4 linked regions of the Drosophila melanogaster genome follow. Changing the gene in region 1 together with any one later gene gives a genetic interaction. Each region holds a gene or a part of one and is shown in the gene's direction. Other genes may lie near its edges.

What was found.
Region 2: of Nsf2 (region 1) and CG4119, changing one suppresses a phenotype caused by changing the other (phenotypic suppression), as found in Drosophila melanogaster (one study listed by BioGRID).
Region 3: of Nsf2 (region 1) and igl, changing one suppresses a phenotype caused by changing the other (phenotypic suppression), as found in Drosophila melanogaster (one study listed by BioGRID).
Region 4: of Nsf2 (region 1) and Qtzl, changing one suppresses a phenotype caused by changing the other (phenotypic suppression), as found in Drosophila melanogaster (one study listed by BioGRID).

The regions. Positions count from the first base shown.
Region 1 is NT_033777.3:13,832,950-13,839,654, reverse strand, and holds Nsf2 (N-ethylmaleimide-sensitive factor 2), read left to right. Parts: upstream 1-1,663; 5' UTR 1,664-1,742; coding exon 1,743-1,852; intron 1,853-1,952; coding exon 1,953-2,277; intron 2,278-2,912; coding exon 2,913-3,878; intron 3,879-4,117; coding exon 4,118-4,975; 3' UTR 4,976-6,158; downstream 6,159-6,705. Other genes in the region: CG31495 (uncharacterized protein), read left to right, coding at 1-881. UniProt on the Drosophila melanogaster protein: Required for vesicle-mediated transport. Catalyzes the fusion of transport vesicles within the Golgi cisternae. Is also required for transport from the endoplasmic reticulum to the Golgi stack.
Region 2 is NC_004354.4:5,664,051-5,671,158, forward strand, and holds CG4119 (uncharacterized protein), read left to right. Parts: upstream 1-2,001; 5' UTR 2,002-2,355; coding exon 2,356-2,418; intron 2,419-2,506; coding exon 2,507-2,748; intron 2,749-3,159; coding exon 3,160-4,282; intron 4,283-4,347; coding exon 4,348-5,176; intron 5,177-5,251; coding exon 5,252-5,895; intron 5,896-6,000; coding exon 6,001-6,096; 3' UTR 6,097-6,602; downstream 6,603-7,108. Other genes in the region: Sirt4 (sirtuin 4), read right to left, coding at 679-1,436, 1,638-1,818; Rab18, read right to left, coding at 6,865-6,966, 7,031-7,108.
Region 3 is NT_033778.4:15,153,585-15,158,447, forward strand, and holds the start of igl (igloo), read left to right. Parts: upstream 1-1,852; 5' UTR 1,853-2,333; coding exon 2,334-2,631; intron 2,632-4,863.
Region 4 is NT_033779.5:11,994,140-11,997,258, forward strand, and holds Qtzl (quetzalcoatl), read left to right. Parts: upstream 1-1,600; 5' UTR 1,601-1,674; coding exon 1,675-1,804; intron 1,805-1,862; coding exon 1,863-2,104; 3' UTR 2,105-2,584; downstream 2,585-3,119. Other genes in the region: CG18789 (uncharacterized protein), read right to left, coding at 1-1,046, 1,102-1,178; Ada1-1 (transcriptional adaptor 1-1), read left to right, coding at 2,765-3,119.

The DNA.
Region 1 (6,705 bases):
TGTGCCAACTGGTCCGAGAAGCCCTCCATGAAGCCATTGTCCGCACTCACGTCACCAGATGCCCGAAGGGCCTTCAAGTCACTCAGGTCGATCTCCTGGCCGCGGTAAAGATCATTCAGCCACGATTTGGCCGGCAGGAGGAGACTCTCCAGCTGCTCATGCCATATGAATATCTAGATCGTACCGCTTTCGATCCGAATGATCTCCTGTCCACCGGACGCCCAAGATGGTCTTGCCATCTGGTCGAAGGTAAGCCCAAGTCAGGCCTAACTACGGTGGCCGCTCAAATGGCTTTGAAAACAGACTGCCCTTTTATAAAATACATCTCGTCGGCCGAATTGCTGGGACTTAGCGATTCCGAAAAATGCCAGAGAATACGGGAAGTCTTGGAGGACGCCTATGTTTCCAGGCGCAGCTGCGTCATCATTGACGACTTTGAGCGTGTCATTGGTTACGGCGCCCTGGGTAAGCGGTACTCCAAGGAGTTCCTGCAGAAGCTGACGGTTCTTCTGAAGAAACAACCGCCCAACAGCCACGAGCTCATCATCATTTGCACAAGCAATCGTCTCGATGTCCTGGAGGAACTGGGCTTGCTATCCGTTTTCACTTCAGTTCACAATGTGCCAAATGTTTCCACGCCTAAAGAACTTATGGTCATAGTGGAAGCTTCAAAACGATTCGAGCCCGAGGAGCTACGCCAAATCGAGATCGCCATGGATGGCCGCAACGTCTCCATTGGCATCAAACGGTTGCTTGACTTGATTGCGTGGGTGAATTCCCTAAATCCCGACCGTCGAGCTGCCAAATTGCTGAAGAAATTGGGCGAAGCAATGGGATGGGTAGGGAACCATTCTAGTCCACTTGTACCTCAATACATTTAAGACGTTAGGTTAGGAAATGCAATATTGTATCTACAATTCCAGGAAAATAATTCCAAGTGATTCCAAATAATTCAGTAATGCTTTATATTTAAAAGAACCACGTAAGCATAAAAAAACCATCTAAAAAAATAATATTGCATTATTTTTTGGATGAACTTGCTTCCATTGCATTGCAATGTTCTTAAGACTAAAATGAACAGCCCGATAATGTGATTGCAAAGATACTAGATTATTATATTATATATATATTATATATACACCAGGCCAGACCTCTCAGTGGCCTTCGCCTGCTGTACGGAGAGCATTCCGTCCTCCAGGAGTTCGGTGACCGGTGGGCCCAACATCTCCTGGGCTGCTCCAAAGGCGGGCTTGATGTCGTTGTCCAATATATATATATATACATAATTATATATATAATATATATTATATATTATATATATATATTATATTGTTCTAGTGTCTTTGGTGATTGGCATAACAAGTTTTATTACCATATTATATATATATAAGTAAAAATAAAGATATTTGAATTGCAAATGCCACCCATTTTATCGTTATTTACTTAGAGGATTTGGCTTTTGATACAACACATTTTTTGGATTGTTTTCTTCACCAATCCTGGTGCTGCAGAGCTGCTTAGCAACAGCGAAGAAGTCTTGAATGCGGGGGATATATGTATTATTAGAAAATGCAAATGCGCGCCAATGAATTCAAATTTGCACTGCAGGTGCCGTAGCAGGCATCTTTTGCTCGCAATCACAGTGCATACACACACGCAATGCCGAACAGGGTTGCACTCCCTCAACGGGCTATCAGCTGTTTGAGACAATTTCGGGATTATATTATAAAATTGCTACGAAAATGTCAATTGAAAAAGCCCACCGGATGAGAGCGATCAAATGCCCAACGGATGAGCTGTCCCTGACGAACAAGGCGATTGTGAATGTGTCCGATTTCACGGAGGAGGTCAAGTGAGTGTTGGTTTTTGTTGTTTTTCCACTTCCTACGTGGGCGTACGAGCCTATGGAAACTTTCGCTTATGCTAATGACGCACCGCTTGATACCCTGCAGATATGTGGACATCTCGCCGGGCCCGGGGCTGCACTACATCTTCGCGCTGGAGAAGATCAGCGGGCCGGAGCTGCCGCTCGGCCACGTCGGATTCTCGCTGGTCCAGCGCAAGTGGGCCACGCTCTCCATCAACCAGGAAATAGACGTGCGGCCGTACCGATTCGATGCCAGCGCCGATATCATCACACTGGTCTCCTTCGAGACGGACTTCCTGCAGAAGAAGACCACCACGCAGGAGCCCTACGACTCCGACGAGATGGCCAAGGAGTTCCTCATGCAGTTCGCCGGAATGCCGCTGACCGTCGGCCAAACGCTCGTCTTTCAGGTAATGGTGTGGATGTGGCTCCCCCATAAATGTATGCAGTATAGAAAAATAGATAGCAAAGGACTGAAACTAAGGTAGTAATCTGGAGAGGATTAGTGATATATGCCAGAGCCAGTTAAAATACTACCCAATTCAATGAGGGTTCTCGGTTTATCTCGGACGCACCTATTCATTATTTCACCATTTATTGTGTGCACTTATAATAATTTTGGTTTTGTATAACTTTACAAAAAGATTTATACGTTCATAGCATAGCGGTAGTGAGAATATTCGTTATTTGTGTTATTCGATATTCGTTATTTTATATTTACTGACGTGTCTTGATTGTCATGAGATGCTGAATCTCATATTCCACATTTAGACGGTGACCTAATGCAAATATTAACAAGGTAGCTTACCTCCAACAATTAGAAACCCAAAGACACGTAACTCTCCCTTAGATCATCTTTTTGGCTCTCTGCCAAATCTTTTTTAATAATTCAGCATACAATGTCCCCCTTTTTTATGAACTAAAAATAGTGTGTTAGGCTGCCCTCATAGGAAATGCAACTATCTTAACATAGTAATTCTTCTAACATGCTCCTTAATGTACATATATCGTTCGTTTGCTAATAAGGATGTTTACCGCCTTTCAGTTCAAAGACAAGAAATTCCTGGGCCTCGCTGTAAAAACGCTGGAGGCAGTGGATCCCCGAACAGTGGGCGATTCCCTACCGAAGACTCGGAACGTACGATTCGGCCGCATCCTCGGTAACACGGTGGTGCAGTTCGAGAAGGCCGAAAACTCTGTGCTAAATCTGCAGGGTCGCTCCAAGGGTAAGATCGTGCGGCAGTCCATCATAAATCCGGACTGGGACTTTGGCAAGATGGGCATTGGTGGCCTAGACAAAGAGTTCAATGCGATTTTCCGACGCGCCTTCGCCTCTCGTGTTTTTCCGCCGGAACTTGTCGAACAACTGGGCATCAAGCACGTTAAGGGTATTCTGTTGTACGGACCACCAGGCACGGGAAAAACCCTGATGGCCCGGCAAATAGGTACCATGCTGAATGCCCGCGAACCCAAGATCGTGAATGGACCGCAGATCCTGGACAAGTACGTGGGTGAATCAGAAGCCAATATCCGGCGACTGTTTGCCGAGGCCGAGGAGGAGGAAAAGCGCTTGGGACCGAACAGTGGACTGCACATCATCATCTTCGACGAGATCGACGCCATTTGCAAGGCTCGCGGATCCGTGGCCGGTAATAGTGGTGTCCACGACACGGTCGTCAATCAACTGCTAGCCAAGATCGACGGCGTGGAGCAGTTGAACAACATCCTGGTAATAGGAATGACCAACCGGCGGGACATGATCGATGAGGCCCTGCTGCGACCTGGACGCTTGGAAGTGCAAATGGAGATCAGCTTGCCCAACGAGCAGGGTCGCGTCCAGATCCTGAATATCCACACCAAGCGGATGCGTGACTTTAACAAGATAGCTAGCGATGTGGACAACAATGAGATCGCGGCCAAGACAAAGAACTTCAGTGGCGCAGAGTTGGAGGGTCTGGTTAGAGCGGCCCAATCCACGGCCATGAATCGGTTAATAAAGGCGGACTCCAAGGTATATGATGCACAGCATGGCGTGAAAGCAAAGAAAGGGGGTTCTCTTAATTCACATTCGGATCGAAATGTTATTTTATTTATTTGGCGTATTCGCTTATTTCATTTATCTCTCGGTTTGCGTTTCGGGTTTCGTTTAATTTCGAGTAATTTGGTTTCGATAAACCAAGAAAGCGATTAACGTTCGACTGTTCCACTATTCTAAAATTACCATCATCATTTGCTTTTCTACGATCCAAGGTTCACGTGGACCCGGAGGCTATGGAAAAACTGCGTGTTACGCGAGCCGACTTTCTGCACGCATTGGACAACGACATCAAGCCCGCCTTTGGAGCAGCCCAGGAGATGCTGGAAAATCTGCTGGCACGCGGAATTATAAACTGGGGCCCACCGGTCACCGAACTCCTGGAGGACGGAATGCTCTCCGTACAGCAGGCGAAGGCCACTGAGAGCTCTGGCCTGGTGTCTGTTCTCATCGAAGGAGCTCCCAACTCCGGCAAATCAGCGCTGGCCGCTAATCTGGCCCAGTTGAGTGATTTCCCATTCGTTAAGGTCTGCTCCCCGGAAGATATGGTAGGATTTACGGAGTCAGCCAAGTGCCTGCACATCCGCAAGATCTTCGACGACGCCTATCGCTCCACATTGAGCTGCATTGTGGTGGACAATGTGGAGCGATTGCTAGACTACGGTCCAATTGGACCCAGGTACTCTAATCTCACGCTGCAGGCGCTATTGGTTCTACTGAAAAAGCAACCGCCAAAGGGTAGAAAACTGCTGATCCTGTGCACTTCCAGCCGGCGGGACGTTCTCGAGGAGATGGAAATGCTCTCGGCTTTCACGTCCGTCCTGCATGTGTCCAATCTCTCAACTCCCGAGAACGTGCTTGCCGTGCTGGATGATTCTGATTTGTTTAGTCCCGAGGAGCTGCAGAGCATTGCCAGGAAAATGGCGGGTAAGCGATTGTGTATCGGCATCAAGAAGCTGCTGGCTCTCATCGATATGATCCGGCAATCGGAGCCTCACCAGCGGGTTATCAAGTTCCTCAGCAAAATGGAGGAGGAGGGCGGTCTGGAAATGGATAGGGTGCAAGGGCACTAGCTACGCCTTTAAATTAATTTACATTCCATTATCAAACAGCAGAGTGGTTCGATTTGATTGATTCAAACTGGAAAAACGGTTATGTGTTTACAATTAAAAATATATATATATGTATTAAAACAAAAAACCGTTACAAAAATACTTATAACCTTTTGGGAAAAAAGTACAACGTAATATAATATAATAATATATTCCCATATTTCAAAATATCTTACTTGCAGAGTGGGTTTCTATAAAATTCTATACTTTCGTGAAACTTTGAAATTAGTTGCCTTCAAGCCTAATACACAGAACCGGTGACCACTTTTATTGTTTATTAGGAAGTGTATAATTTTATAAACTCATATTCTGCAAATCGAAGAAATCGACCCACCCTAGTGCAATTTTATGATTGTGTTTTTTTTCCCGCTATCAAAAGGGAATCACAATGATAGGTTTCAGCTGCAATATAATATTCTAACGCTATACTTCGCTTAAGTTCCACTAAAAAAAAAAAAATATAATAAAGCGTAACTGAAGACCAACTTGTGAGATAAAGTCAAGTAATTTGTAAGTTTTGAATTTGATGATACCAACGAACTTAAAGTACTCGCATTAGCGACTAAGGATAATCCGTCGGTGTCCACCATGAAAATCTCAGTTTGAGTGCACAGACTTACATAGAGAATTTGATACCAACATGATGTATTTTATAAGGATTTTACGGATATTGCATTTACCATGATAAATAAAAAAGACAAAAATCCGATGATGCAGCCCTAATAGATTGATCTTTTAAATCAAAATTGAATTAAGATGCTTAAGCGTTATACCGATACTTAAGAACTATAATTCTGAAAGTTATTTTACAGAGCGCACAGTTTTGAATACGTGTGATTTTTATTTACATGACTTTTTACCAAAAACGAAAACAAATCATTTTTGTTATATTTTTCTTTACATCCATAAGTGAGATCACTTTGGGTTTGAAAACTAGCTAAAGAAGGTGCATGTCTTAGCTACAATTTCTGAATTTCGATCGAAGCTTTTCGAAAAACACGAAATATATGTGAATCATTTGTAAATGGATATGTCTTTTATGGATAAACTTGATGTGTACCAACGGGATAACAAACTAATTTATGTAATTTACCCAATAGCTAAAAATAAATGGAGTTTTCCCAAAGACTATGGTCTTTTTAATAAGAACGGCTGAAACGATCTTTAGTCAAAAATATATATAATGCAAATTGATTGATTGCCTTTTCTTTTCGTTCCAGGACACATTAGTTCCCTTGGTAGTTTCGGAGTGTAGCAGCTTGAATTCTTTGAAAACTCCTATTTATTTAAATATTGTTTTTTCTCGGCGATCGCCGCCCGACAGCTGTCCGCTTGGAAGGCGTCAAGTGGTTATCATACCATGTACTCACCCGATCCGATCCGATCAGTCCGATCCATCGATCAGCTGTTCGCGACAAGATCCGACGCCGGAACCCAATCAGAGCAGTGGTCAGCTTGGCCGAGGTGCTGACCACAGCCAGTCGGTCGGCGTAATATGCAATTTGAATAAATGATTTATAATGAAAACACCTTAGCGGCGCGTCGTCTGCGTATACGTAATGTGGAGCGGAGTGGAGTGCCACACTGCTCGGTAATTGATATATGGCGCTAATTGCGCTCGACGCCCATTTGTGGTCCAGTCCAGCTTTATCAGCGGCAGTCGTCTGAGGAATCCTGGGTAGCCATAGCCA
Region 2 (7,108 bases), on another chromosome or scaffold:
TCATATATAAAGGATATAATGCTGCTTAAATATGCTAACCATGACCACTACTTAATATAATTATATTATTATTATTATTATTCTTAGCAGTCCTTCGATTTTGCCCATTGTGCGAGGTCTACGCATTGTTTTTCTAGCAGGAATGGACGATTGTCGTAGGAGGGGGGGTAATGAACCGCGTGTGAAAAGTGTCACTGGCCGTGTATGTGTGTGTGCGATGTGTGTTTGTGTGTGCGAGCGGGAGATGCCGATGCCTCAATTGCGGTTCATTTATATGGAGCACTGAGAGCAGCGGCCTGGAGCAAAAACAAAAACATTCAACGGGAGCGAGCGGAAGTGCGCAGCTCTCCCCGGCGCTCCTGCTTCCGCTTCCTGTTGGGATGTGCTGGAATTTCAGAGCACAGGACACTGAGAGAGACAGAGAGGACATGGACTCGGAACCCATGTGCTTGGGGGATGAGCGAATCCTTTTCCCGGAAAGCGTGTCATTGTGTTTCGCTCCAGAGGAGCCTGCGCGAAAATGATCCAAAGGCACAGCCATAAATCAGGAGCTCCGTTGCAACGCTACATTCCATTTGCAAATAGTAATCATTAACATTTATTTTTTAGCTAAAATAGAAAGCCTGGCTTTCCATAACTACAAATTTAGTGGGGGTCAACATATAACAACTGTGAGTATTAACTGACGCTTTTCGAATTGCGAAAGTCGAACAGTTTGGGTATGACATCGCCGCACTTGGCGGATATCTTGATATCCGCCAGGTGATCGGCGCGCGTTTCGCCAATATTAACAATGCCCACCGGTAGCTTGAGGTCCTTGGTCTGCAGGACAACGCGGTAGCCGGAGAAGACCAGGAGACTGGACCCGAGGACAAGCAGGCCATCGCTATTGTACACCATGCCGGCAATCTGATCCACTCGTGGCCGAGGCACAGAATCTCCGAAGAAGACAATTTCCGGCTTCAAGTCGCCGCCGCACTGCGTACACTCGGGTATCCGGAAGTTCTCGATGTACTCCAGCGGTATCTCTACATCGCCATCGGGCCGGATCATGTCGGGGGCATCTTTGAAGGCCGGATTTAGCGACGCCAGTATGCTCTGGAACTCGTGACGATCGATCCGGTACTCGCATGACAGGCACTTGACCACATAGCCACTGCCATGAACCTCCACAACATTTCGGCTGCCCGCCTTCGTGTGCAGCCGGTCCACGTTCTGGGTGACCACCGCCTGGACCCGCTCCTCCCGCTCGAATCTGGCCAGCGCGTGATGCGTGGCATTGGGCTGTGTGGCAGAAAACTTGGGCCAGCCCACAAAGTTCCTGGCCCAGTACCGCTTGCGCACCGCCGACGACTTGACGAACTCCATGTGCTGGACGGGCTTGTGGTTGGAGCGGGCGTAGAGGCCCACGCCTTCGGAACGGTAATCGGGAATCCCTGGAATTTATTTCAAGTTTTTAGACAGCCAGAAATGTTGATTTAAATAAAATACTAATGCGAATCCAAGTATAAGCTAGAAGTCACTTGCATTAGCATTATATAAATAAATGAATAATGTACAAGCTTTTGGAAGTCAATCTGAAATATTTGTGTTAATGGCTTCTGAACATAGAAAAGTCGGAAAATCATGAAACTCACCCGATTCCGTCGAGATGCCAGCGCCCGTGAGAACCAAAACATTCGGTTTGGACAGGAGAAAGTCCTCCAGCCGTTTGATGTCGTCCTCCACGACGGGCTTGTGATGCGGCACGTACTCCTGCCTGGCGGTGGAGCTGCGCAAGCTGGTGCTCCGGAAGCGGAGCAGCTGGCCCACACGCATTGTTTTGTTATGTATTATTGCAAGTAATATTTGGTTCTTTTTCGGTTACGTTACTAGAGGTGAGCGCACGCACATCGATGGCAACTCCTTCAGTCGCTTACCGCTGTAAATCGATTGTATGCCCCGCAATGGCAATCGATAACTGTACGACCCCCATCGATTTTTACACGCCATCAGCCGATAGCAGCTTGCCAGCAGCTACCATCTCTAGAGCAACGGCTGCAGAAAAAAGATATTCTATTCGGTAATTTACGCGTGGATTTATCACGCGCCGTGAACCCAGAAGTTACAGGCCAACCTTTCCGAGATTCGATCAGTGAACCTTGCGGGCGTCCAGCTTCGTAAGCACGAAACAGGACATTCACACACATATTTATCACTCCGTGTGGCGTTTGCGCCCATCCGTGCGTGCCTGTGTGTGTGTGTGTCGCTCGTCTGTGCGTGCGTGAGTGTGTTTGTGAATTGTCGGCTTTAATTTTGCAAGCTCGCTAAAGTTGTGTTTTCAAAGGACATCGCAAAGGAGTCGCAGCGCACAAGATGTCGTACCCGCCGCGGGCGCCCATGCCGCCCTTCATGAATACAGCCATACCGCCGCCGCACGTAAGTCCACCTTTTCTGGGTCACAATCACCATGAAGCTGTCAGAATCTGACGCCAAATCCTTTTCCACCTACTCCATCCGCTTTCAGATAATGCAGAACATGGCCAAGCCGCCGAGGAGCTTCCGTAACTCGGCCACCATTAGTTCACAGCCGACAGTATACCAACGTCCGCCGGAGCCGCAACCACAGTTCCGCGGACCCATCATTACCGTCTTCGTGGGCAACATCAGCGAACGCGTCCCGGAGGCACTGCTCAAACGCATCCTGAACGCTTGCGGCGTGGTAATCAATTGGAAACGGGTGTCCACATTCGGCTTCTGCGAATTTGAGTACGTTCAACCATAAATCGGTCATCCCAAAATCACTTTAGAAGGCTTAGGGCAGCACAAGAAGGTTTCGTTAGTTAAATAACGCTAGAAAAGTAATTGAAGAGCCATTGCATAAACAGCAGCATAACGCATCTCACTCGTTGTTTGATGCGTTTCCTAGAATAGCTTAGCTTATTTATAAAAAGATTGAAATACTTCTAGGAATGCTCCCTACTGCGACAGCTCTTCAAATTCTATATGCGCGATCGAATAACTACTCGAGCACTTTTAAGTAACCTAACTTTAAGCAATACAACACAGGGTTGAGCTTGCATACATTTATGTTTAGAGCCAACGGGCAGTCCACCCATTTGGCTCTCCAATTGTTCCTATAAATACTCTGCCTAACCGCTTTCCTTGGCATTCTTTCAGCGGACCTATTGCGGCAATGCGAGCCGTTCGCCTGCTCAGCGAGATGGAAATCGATGGCAAGAAGCTGGTAGCCAAGGTAGATGCCAAGAACAAGGTTCTCATCGAGGATTACAAGGAGCAGGAGTGCAAGAACGGCGATCGTTCCAACCCAGTGGACGAAAAGACCGAGGACGAGTTCGCCATTGCCCAGATGCACGAATTCCTGGAAGAGCACAAGCACGAGTTCGAAGGATTCGATAGCAGCAGTCGCGCCGATTTGTACGGCAGCGCCAATCGCAATAAGAAGACACGCCGCGAGGAAGACATAAAGATGAAGGTGCTAAGCGAAAATACCCTGGAGGAAGAAAAGCGCAACTTGATTAGCAGCGAGATAGGCAAATTCCGTATGCGTGCGGAGGAAGACGAGCACCGCAAAGAGCTGGAGAAGGAGAAGGAAAAGGAGAAGCTTGCGGCCAGCAAGGAGAAGGAGCGCAAAAAGCAGCGCGAAATGGAGCGAATGTCGTCGACCAGCAAGTCTGGCAGCTCATCGACAGCGGCCGCCAGTTCCTCCAGCGCTACAGCCACCTCTTCGACACCCGCCGCCGATGGGGCTGACATGTCGGATAAGACAGACAAGGAATCAGTCGCTGTTGTGATCAAGGAAACAGTTAAGGAGTCAAAGGAATCTGCCTCCTCCACCGGACGCAAGGAGTCGTCGTCGGCTGCCATCGAGATAACACAGAAGGAGCGCCGCTCTGACTCAAAGGAGACACGTCGCCGCCGCTCCAAATCCCGCTCCAAGGATCGCGAACGGGAACGTGAGCGTGAGCTGCGCGAGCTTCGCGACAAGGAGCGCGAACGTGAAAGGGATCGGGAGCGTGAGCGCGAGCGGGAACGCAACGAAATGCGCGAACGGGAGCGCAACGAGATGCGCGAACGGGAACGCGAAAGGGAGCGTGAACGGGAGCGCGAGGAGAAGCTGCTGAAGCCAGTCCGGGACACGTGGCGTGAAAAGGAAATGGAGGACGAACTGCGCGACCGCAAGAAAGCCGAGAAGAAGGCGCGCGAAAAGGAGATCGCCTACCAGACGCGCCTAACCGACTGGGAGGTTCGCGAGAAGCGCAAGGCTAAGGAGAACGAGAAGGTAAGTGACCACACAGTTTGCGGCACATGCTCTCAATCAACCATTACTAACTTTATGTCCAACAGTACCGCCTGAAGGAGTTGCTGCGCCAGGAGGAGCGCGAGACCGACGCCAAGCGACTGAAGGAGTTCGTCGAAGATTACGACGATGAGCGCGACGATTCTCTGTATTATCGCGGCCGCGAGCTGCAGCAGCGACTGGCGGAACGAGTGCGCGAGGCGGATGCCGATTCCAAGGATCGCGAGAAGGAGGCCGAAGAGTTGGCCGAACTCAAGTCCAAATTCTTTAGCGGGGAATACGAGAATCCGTCGCTGGAGTTCGAAAAGGCGCGTCTCGAGATCGAGAAGCTCTACGAGCCGCGCATCCTGATCAATGTGAACCAAGAGCCTCCGGCAGCGGCGACATCATCGGTCCACCAGCGCAAGCAGGCCGCCTCGGCGCCGGGCGAAGACGACGAGGGGCAGAAGCAGCGACAGAAGAGCCAGCAGCTGGACAGCTACGACCCAGACATGGCCGGTACGAATGATGATGACTCCATATCGAACGACGACCGTGCATCCATGGCCGACACAGCCTCCAATGCCAGTGGTGTCTATGCCAAGAACAACAACAACGACCAGTCGCTGTCGAATAGCTTGAGCAGGCATAACAGTGAGTCGCGCGATTCGCTGGCCCAGATCCATACTCCCACGCAGAGCGCGATCCTTAATGACCAAGAATCGGGTCACGATGCCATACTGCCATCGGCCACGCCGCCCATGACCATGCCCCTTATCTCGCTGACGCTGGGCAATAACCTCAAGAAGAAGAAGATAGAGGCCACAGGCGTGTTCGTCAACGACGACGACAACGATGAGAACATCAATCCCAAGAAGCGCAAACTTGTGCCGCTAGGTGAGTTTTCGATCAACTATATTAGATCGTAGAGCATCCTCTGATGACTTGCTGTTTGTTACCTTGCCTTCGCAGACTACGATGATAACATAAGCAACACCACGCCATCCAATCATGCAGCCAGCAGCGGCAGCGGAGCTGCGAACAACAGCAGCAGCAGCAACAACAATAACAGCAGCTCGGCGGATCGCCAAAGCTCCGCCGTGTCGGCGGCAACCGCTGCAGCCGCTGCCGTTAGCCAGAAGATCGCCCAGGCTTTCGGTGGCGGCTCATCGGGGTCGGGTTCGGGATCCGGCTCCGGTTCGAACGCATCAGGCGGCAAGAACAACGGCGGCGGCAGCAGCAGCAGCAGCAACAACAAACATAACAGCAACAGCAAACATGGTAAGAATGAGGCAGCTGCATCTGCTGGCAGTAGCGCAGATGCTGCCGCTGCGAACATCAAAAAGGATGAGAATGGTGCAAAGGTGTATGATGAAAAACGGCGGCATATAAAAAGCATTATTGACAGGATACCCACGCAAAAGGAGGAGCTATTTAATTATAAGCTAGACCGCAACGAGATTGACAGCGGTCTAATGGAACGCAAAATACGTCCATGGATAAATAAGAAAATCATCGAGTATATCGGTGAGCCGGAGCCGACGCTAGTGGACTTTATATGTTCCAAAGTGTTGGCCGGCAGCCCGCCTCAAAGCATCTTGGATGATGTGCAAATGGTGAGTAGTTTGAAGCGATACGATACGATACGATAACCACTACCATTCTATGAACTAATCCAAACTCTATCCCTCTCGCTCTGTTTCAATGTTTCAAATCTTCAGGTACTCGACGAGGAAGCCGAGGTCTTTGTGGTGAAGATGTGGCGTCTGCTCATTTACGAACTGGACGCCAAGAAGAGCGGCCTTGCGGGGAAGTAGTAAGGAGATGGGAGAGATGCCCGTCGTGCGCATCACTGGGGAACTGGGCGGGAGCAGGTGCGGATCCGAGGTATCGATGGAGGAGCAACAGCGTGAAGTTAGATTCTAAGTTACTCTTACGGAACCTATGCGATTACAAAAATGTACATAAGGGGCGTGCTCCGGGAATTGTTGCGGCCAAATGTCCAGCTTTGTTTTCTAAGCATCCGTCGCGTGCAAGGGATTTACAAGAAATTGATGAATAGCGAGCGAGCCAATCGTGAAGAACAGCTTCATTGATTTCTAAATCCACCTTGTTAGCGTTAATTAATAAATATTAATCATCGATAATTGTAAATATAAACCGAACTCACTTATAAATTTACACCACCAGATGCAATAGAAATAAAAAAAATCGCATAGCCCATGTACATTTCAGTTGGTCACTAATCCAATTCTCCACTTTATTTGTTGCGTTTGTGAACGCAAATGGAAAACTATCATCATGTCAATAAAATAATGAAAAGAAAATGCTGAACTTGACTTTTGACTGGTCGCAGACGAAATGCAAGCAGATGGACAATAAGCCGTACAGGAATATTAGAAGGATAGAATTTAAAAAGGATTCTGACTGATCTGCAAACCCTGCAAGCTAAGTGAATCGATAGCCCTGCTCAGATTGGAGTACACGATTGAACGTTAAGGTTGATTGACTTTATGCTAGTGATATTGAAACGATTAAATAAATACACGATATAAATTTGACAAAAGCACGCATAACATTCGAAATCAACAGTAACACGTAGACGCGCTTGCCTCCAGATCCCGATCGCTGGCGATGTCCAGACCGGCGGAGGCATTGCCATTGTTGAAGTATTCGGAGGAGACGATCTGCAAAGCGGATGTGGATAATTGGAAACACGAATGCCAAGTATTTGGTTGGTAGCTAGCTCACCTTCTCCACCACATCTTTGAACACATCGCTGACGAACTGATCGCATTTGGCTGAGGTCTCGATGAAGAGCGCCCTGTG
Region 3 (4,863 bases), on another chromosome or scaffold:
GCTCGATTTTCCAGCAATATAAATTTGTCTCTGTTCTTTTTGGAAAGCTCTTATTAAATTTGAATCGAAATTCAGAAAGCCCTGGTGGATTTTATGTCCATTGAAACTCAATTAATTTGTACAGTTTCGATTTTTTTGTAGCTTGACTATAGCTTTTATCAAGGCTGCACCTTTTAATGGACATGTTAATTAAATGGTCTCGCTTTAATTAATAATTTTATTGTGCTTAAAACAGAGCTCTCTGTTATTGGTACATATTTACCAATGCCTTTCAGCCTGTTTCTGCCCCATTTCGGGCTGTTTATTCTGCGCACTTATGCCACGTTTGCAATGTGAAGCTAATTTGCATATGCTCAGACATCTGTAATATAATAACATATGTACATACATATGCGGGATTCATTTTGTGGGTAAGCAAGGGAAGTTTTGATTAAAATTGGCCCAAGGCCTGCATATCGCCCACTTTACGAGTATTCGTGGCTTGCACTTCAACTAGACTATGCGCACTTCAGCTTGATTGTTATGGTACTATCTCTAAGATAAAAGGTGGTATACACAAAACTTTATTGCCATCCCAATTATACACTTTAATTCTAGAATTTATAATTTATTCATAAATTCCATACTTTTTAAATTCAAAAGTTCTAAAGCATTGCAAATTAAGTGGGAGATTTTGGGATACAATAACTAAGCAATACAGGGAACTACAAAGGAATCGCAGACACAATAAAAGCTAAACCAATTCATTTGTCTCACGCACACCATCGCAGCGTCTTCACTCATACATAAGCCAAAGAGCCAACTCCCAAATATTAATGCCAAGACAAAAAGGAAGCCAGATGACAGCTGAGCTGTACGAGATGCAAAAGCTAGTTGCTTTTATGAATTGCTATATATACTCAAGGGAGCGGCCGGTGCTCATTGATATTTTTATGGGCCAGGTTTTCTGCTTGAATATATATTCTTTTTATTTGCATTCATTTTGGCTGGGCTTTCTTCATTCAGCTGTTTGTGCCTGGTTACACGCAATGTGTATGTATGTGTGTGTGTGTGTGAGAGAGTCCTTTGGCCTGCGCTGGTGTGAGTGTGGCCATTCCTTTCTCGATGATGATGCCATTGCCTTGGCTGCCTTTGCCGCTCTTTGGATTCTGGTTGTGTTGCCACCACAACGGTTTCTGCGGCGCCTCTAAGCCACATTCCTAGCATGGCTGTGTGCGTGCGTATCTGTGAGTCGGATTCGGCAGTCGGTTTGTTTATTTGCGAAAAAGTTTGCAGCCAGCGCTGGCTAACAACAACAGAGGCAGCTGCTGCCGTTGCCGCCTGGATAGAGCCACTCTCTTCTCGGGTCTCTTTTTTAGTCCCTTGCTAAACAGTAGTATACATGAAGGAAAAATTATTTAGAATAAATATTTAGACAAAAAAGTCATTTATTTGCCACTTAATACATCGTTGTAATATTGTTCATTTATAAGAAGCTTATTGAAATTGAATTAATTCATTGATTTGTAGATCCCAACATAAACTTAAATATCATATCCTGATTTTGTGATTATTGCCAAAAAAAATCAGAGGAAAAGTGGCTTTTGTTTAACCATTTATTTTTATTTTATTTAATTTCTTTGAAATTTTGAGACAATTAAGTTCTACACATACATGTATAAACCATATATTTTTGCCCACTGTGAGTCCTGCGAGAGAGCGGGAGAGAGAATTCTCTCGCTTCCTATTCCTATCTCTCCTCGAGGTCCTGGCTCTCTGTTTCCCTGGGCTTTGTGTGTCGTTGCCTGCCGGCTGGCGCGTCGCTGCTTGTTGAGCTCGAAACTCCAGCTCCTGCAGGATGTGGGGATATCGGGCATTCGGGGTCCGTGGCATCCGCAGTGAGGACGCGTCGCCGGCGCCGTTCAGTGTCAAAGTCAGTTGTGCCTGAGCTTGTGCCAGAGACAGTCAGTTTCGCTGCGAGTCTGCCATCCAGCTGGTTTCCGCTTCCGGTTCCGTGCGAGTTCTTTGGCTAGTAAATTGTGGTTGTGCACCTTTTTCTAATGACTTTTGTAAACACCAAAGTTTTTTGAACAAAAAAAATTACCGAGGCACAACGTATTTTTGTAAACATTTAATGCGAAAAAGGTTTCAGCTCGCGAAAGTCAAAGTGCAAATTGGCCCAGAAACAACAAGTATCGTTTATAAACTAGTTTCCAGTTCGGATGTGTGTGTGTGTACTATAGTGTGTGTGTGTGCAATTGATTAAACAACACAAGGGTAACCTAGGCCAACTGGAAGCGTAGAGACTCCATCAAAAGCCGCGGACTAAATTGCCAAATCCTCGATCCAATAAGATGGGCTGCAACACCAGCCAGGAGCTAAAGACGAAGGATGGCGCAGCCATGGATGCGGTCAGCAACGGCGAACCGGAGCCCAGTGCTCCTCCCTTGGAGGGCGAGTCATCCAAGTCATCCGCTAGCAATCATACGAATCACGCCAAATCCAGTTCAATTATCTCCAACGGCGAGGCGAAGGCGGCCAACGGGGGCGGCGCAGTTGGCGGGGGGAGTGGCAAGTCGGAAGCAACAAATGGCATTGATCGTCCCTGCGACAAGGCGGCAATCACGGAGTTCAATGACGACGAGGACGAAGGTAAGGCCCGTTCAATCTCCGATATCCAATACATTCATATTAACGACTGTTCAACATTCGGTGTGCGTGCGTGTGTGTGGGTGCACTTGGAGAAAATGTTCATCACATCAAAGTGTGGTGATTTTCCTTACTTTCTGAATTAAGAAAAATCTTTACAGCTATAGTAAAAAACCGAAATTGTACAAATATTTAAAGAAGCGAAGAATAGACACTAAATTTTTTTTAGTTTATAGGACTTTTTTTCGGTGTCCTGTGTGTGTGCGGATGAATGAAAATCCTGTGTCCAGGGGTTCGAGTATTATTTACTGTATCAACACGCTGGGAGCACGGCGTTATCGCATTTGCCTTTTTTCTTTGCCACTTTTCCATTTTCCCCCAGTTTTCCGGGCTCCCCGCGGCCCGCTGCTTAATGGTGTCGCAAATATGAATTGTTTAAGTGTATACACATATATGTATATATAAATTTATATATAAAGGGATGTTTGCATTTGGATGTATACACTGCACTCCATTACACGCCACTACATCCGCAAGCGCTTTTATGCGCCCGATGGCAAATTTGTGTTAGGTCCTTAACTTTGTTAAGTAGCCGCCTCGTTGTCCCACAGTCGCCTTGGGCATTTTTTTTCCCCAATGCGCATTAACGTAGGTTATGCTCCTGTTTATGGTATCTAATAAGCGTAGTCAGAAGTCACTTTTATGGCCAGCGATATGGGCCGCAGGATAACACAAATTCCATAGCTTGCTTTTGGGGGCACAATTTAGTTTACGACATATGATTCGCAGTAAAGTGATAATAACGTTTACTTTGCTTGAAAGCAAAAAACCTTTAACGACATATCAAAAATTGTCTACTTTTCTATAATATTTGCTTACAATACAAAAATGTATAATTAATTCTATTTATAAATGTACACGTAAAGTTATGGCCTCATTTGTTATTCTTCTATTGTACGAAATTAAATTTTAGTTGGAAAAATAACTCGAATTATTTAAAACTTCTGCCATAATTCACTGGAAATTTTATATACTTGCCTCCTGAAAATACATACATATCCAATTATTTTCAATTTACTTAGTTATTCATTTAAATTTTCACCACAATAACTTTTTACTCAGCCCAAATTTGGATGCAAAGTTCGGGGCTAATACCATTTGCAAACCCCAAAAAAAGGAGGAACTTTGTGCGGTTTATTTGCTCCTTTTTGATATAATGAAAATATGAAAAACCATCGAGGTGCACAGCGTTTCCAGAGACTGACTCATAAATTACCACAGCCAGCTTTCCCTTGTGGCAGGTGCAGCAGTAGTAGTGGCAGAAACTGTTTGTTTTGCCGCCGTTTTCCGCACGTTTTCCCGCTCCCCTCCCAATTTTCATTTCCCAGTTTCCCAAAGGGAGTGCTGATAAATTGTATAGCGACACTTTATCAATGGCTGACTGCACGGGAAAAGTTAGCCAGAAAATTTCGCTCCCTGTTAATGCCACAAATTATTATTATTGCTTAGCAATTTTCCCGCTGCCAACAGCTTTTAATTTGCTGGTTTATGTGTGCTGCTCACTTGGTTTTCCTCGTAACATTTGCCTTGAAATTAACTCAGCTAATTGGGGCTTCTTGGAATCGCTGAAATATTCTGGATAATCCTTGAAAGTTTGTGCGTAGCAAGAAAATTAAATCAGTTCTTATATTCACGGTAAGGCTATTCAATATTCAATTTCATTTGGGCTGTAGTGGTTCATAAATATTCGCCAGCTGCCTTTTCTTTTTTACTTGCCATAAAGTTCCTTACTATAAAGTTTAGGCCGCTCCTCGAACTTTTTTGATTTTCCTCTGCAGCAGCGTAAAAGAAAAGCGTAATAAAACATACAAATAAACTAACGAAAAGAAGTGAAAACCCAAATCAACCATAAAACTGCCGCTCGGTTACGCCATTTATGCCGCCACCCAAAATATTTTGTTAAACAAACACGTAGGCTGTATTTCAAATTGATTCCGCTTGCGAGTGAAACGAAATTAAAAACGTAAATCCGTAAATGCTTAAGTAGAAACTGGGTAAATTTTCTGCGGTCTGTCAAATAATTAAGATATGGCGATGACGAGGTCAATTTCGTTTTATATTTCACTTCCCTTTTCCCCGTTTGGACACGCCCAAAGCGAAATTACCTGCGAATTGCGAATGGGCCAGGAAGGACATAAATTGGCAATAAAGATGTCAACTCATGCAAAGTATAAG
Region 4 (3,119 bases), on another chromosome or scaffold:
TTTCCTGCTCGTTGAGATCCTCCATGCGACTGTAAACTGAGGACTGGATTTCGTTGGTCGGTTGAGCTTGCTGCTGCTGCTGCTGCATCATTTGCTGTTGCTGTTGCATTTGAAATTGTTGTTGCTGCTGCTGCATTTGTTGCTGTTGCATCTGCTGCTGCTGATGCATTTGTTGCTGTTGCATCTGTTGCTGCTGCTGCATCTGTTGCTGCTGCTGCATCTGTTGTTGATTAGGGAATGCAGATGCTGCTGCTTGAGCAAATAATCCGGAGGCAGCTGCCTGCTGCTGCTGTTGTAGTTGCTGAGAAGCCTGAGTAAACATTCCGCCCATATTTTGGCTTGCGGCTTGGCCAAAGATTCCCGTCGACTGTGGTTGCTGCTGCTGCTGTTGGAAACCACCGAAAGGATTAGGATTCACTGGCTGAGCTTGCACCTGAACCTGCGCCTGGGCGAAAATGTTGCCCCCTTGGAAAGCTTGTGCAGCAGGCTGCAGCTGTTGCTGCTGTGGCTGTCCAAAGACACTTTGTGCACCTGTTGCCGCAGCTCCTACACCAAAAATGCTATTCCTTGCATTGGCATTGCTAATCGTTCCGCCGAAAATGCTATTGGTGTTGCTGGCTTGGCTTGTGGCATTCCCAAATATATTTCCCGCACTCAGCGTGGGCTTTCCAAAAATGGATGCAGATGTATTGGCGGCAGCCGGAGCTGCTGCAGCGAAGGGATTACTGGACTGCTGAGGGGCAGCCGACACAGTGCCGCCCTCCGGCGTCTCGTGGATCTTGATCATCATTTCCAGGACCTGCGGCGACATCTGAAGCATGGTCTTCATCTTGTTGTTAGCCTCTAGGACCTCACGGTTAAACTGTTGGCTGAACTGTTCGAATTGGTTTTGTCGTTTGGCCTCGTAACACATGAACCGCACCTCCTCGAAGGATTGGTCCTGAATAAAGTTGGGGAAATTCGCTTTGTCCTTAAAGGGTCCGTAGGCGGACAAAGGCCACATCTTGCCATTGAGGCTGGATTCCATGTCGGCTTTGAGATATTGCCTAAAATAATTAAGTTATTAGTTCATCTGCATAGTTTTAATATCAATGTACTCACTTAACATCGAAATGCTCGTTGTTGCACTTTGCGCCATAGCGGCAGGAGCCTTGTTGAAAGAACCGGCAGACAACCATATTTAAATTTGATTTTAATTTTTGCCTATTTCCTATATTTATTATTTCAAAACTGCTTCAACTTTTGTACTTTTGTTTATAATTGTCTTACTTTGCGTATTGAGTATTCTTTGAGTATTTTATGGCTCACTGAGAAAAATATACCGTGCCTATGCGCGCAATTTCGTGAATTCGTAACTTAAGTTCGCTGAATGATTAAGATAATTTTGTAAGCAAACATATTTAAGATGAAAACTGGTTTTTGAAAATATAGTTCCTTGTAAATTATACATTAAGTGCGAATATATCTGAAAAATATTGGTTTCTTGCACAGATGCTATTCATTTTTCATATGTTCAAAGAAATTCAGAAACTTGCTTCTGCATAATCGAATCAGATAATTTTAAAGTGAATTCCGGAGTCCTTTGGTATATCTCGTGCCGCCGAATACGGTCCCACTGATTGTGAAATCCGTGATAACGAATTTTAACACCAGAATTTCTAGGATTCCATCAGAATGCAAAAAGTGCTGGGACGCATCCAGGCGCAGGTCCTCCGCTCCCGGGCGACGAATGCATTAGCCAATGTGGTTAGACACGAGGCCACCTCCTCCAGGACAGCGGCTAAACCAGCCGCCACATCCAAAGGTAAGCGGATCCTCCAAGATGCACAGTTACCGCTTACCAAAATCGTATTCGTTCGTAGAATTCCGGGAGAGACAGGTGCGATTCAACATAAAGAACGAACAGACCGAGGGTAGACCACTTTACCTGGATGCCCAGGCCACCACTCCAATGGACCCACGTGTATTGGACGCTATGCTCCCCTATCTGACCAATTTCTACGGAAATCTGGTTCGTACGCTTCGCCTTCAACGCCTGGCAAAAGATTCTGGCCTTGGGCAATCAACTGGGCACAACATTTGTCTGGGAATTGGACTGCAATGATCCCAATTTAACAAAGTGTAGCCAGCTGGTTCATCCCAAAAGCAACTCCACCATCCGACAGACTTCCTTCTCCAAAGACGGTTCCATTTTAGTTTGCGTGTGCGACGACAGCACCGTGTGGCGATGGGATCGCGTCAATTAGGATGAGTGTTTCTAGGCTAAAAGAATTTTCCTTATCCTTCTAAATCCGATACCATATTTATGTAACCATAGTTATTTTCAGTGTAATGTTTACCTTCAATATTAAGTATGTTCTTATGCGTAGCATTTATATACAATACTCATTGTATTGACAATTTATGTTAAATTATGTTAAATTTTTTAACATTAACCAAGATATTTATTCTATTCTATTACTTTTTTAATGATCAAATAGCTTCGCAAATATTATCATCTTATGTTGTGTGAATGGCGTGGGCTCTATCTTTAATGTTTATATTTTAACTAACTAACTTGTACACAATAAAAACTGTGAACACTAAAGATTAAAACCAATATTTTTTTAAAGGGTTCTTCAAAAATAACGGTTTTTATCTCAAATGTATCTGGTATTTTCAGCCGTTCTTTGAACGGTCACTCGAATCAGCTGCATTCATTTGTTTATATAGCAATTCGCAAACAGTTGGATTTTCCTGTTTAGTTGTTATTCCCAATACTAAAATGCTTACCGACAGAGTTCTGGCCACCAAGGAGGCGCTAGTGGTGGCTCTGGGCGACAACTGGGAGCGTTACCGGGCCAACATGAAGAATTGGTTTCGGAGCCGTTGGACTAAGGAGGAATTCGATGCGGAGTCGCGGAAAATCCTAACACCTGACAAACTGCACCTGCACAATCAGTTCCTGCTCGCCCTGCTCAACAAGATCGACGCCTTTGCTCCCCTGGAGAATCCTCCGGCCGTCCAGACCAGCAGCAGTAGTGGCAACCGAAGCAAACGGCGCAAAAGAAGTTGCCGCACCTTCGCCGAACGCCTTAATTTTGAGCTCAGCGACGTCCTGGACTTTGTAGCCGAGGACA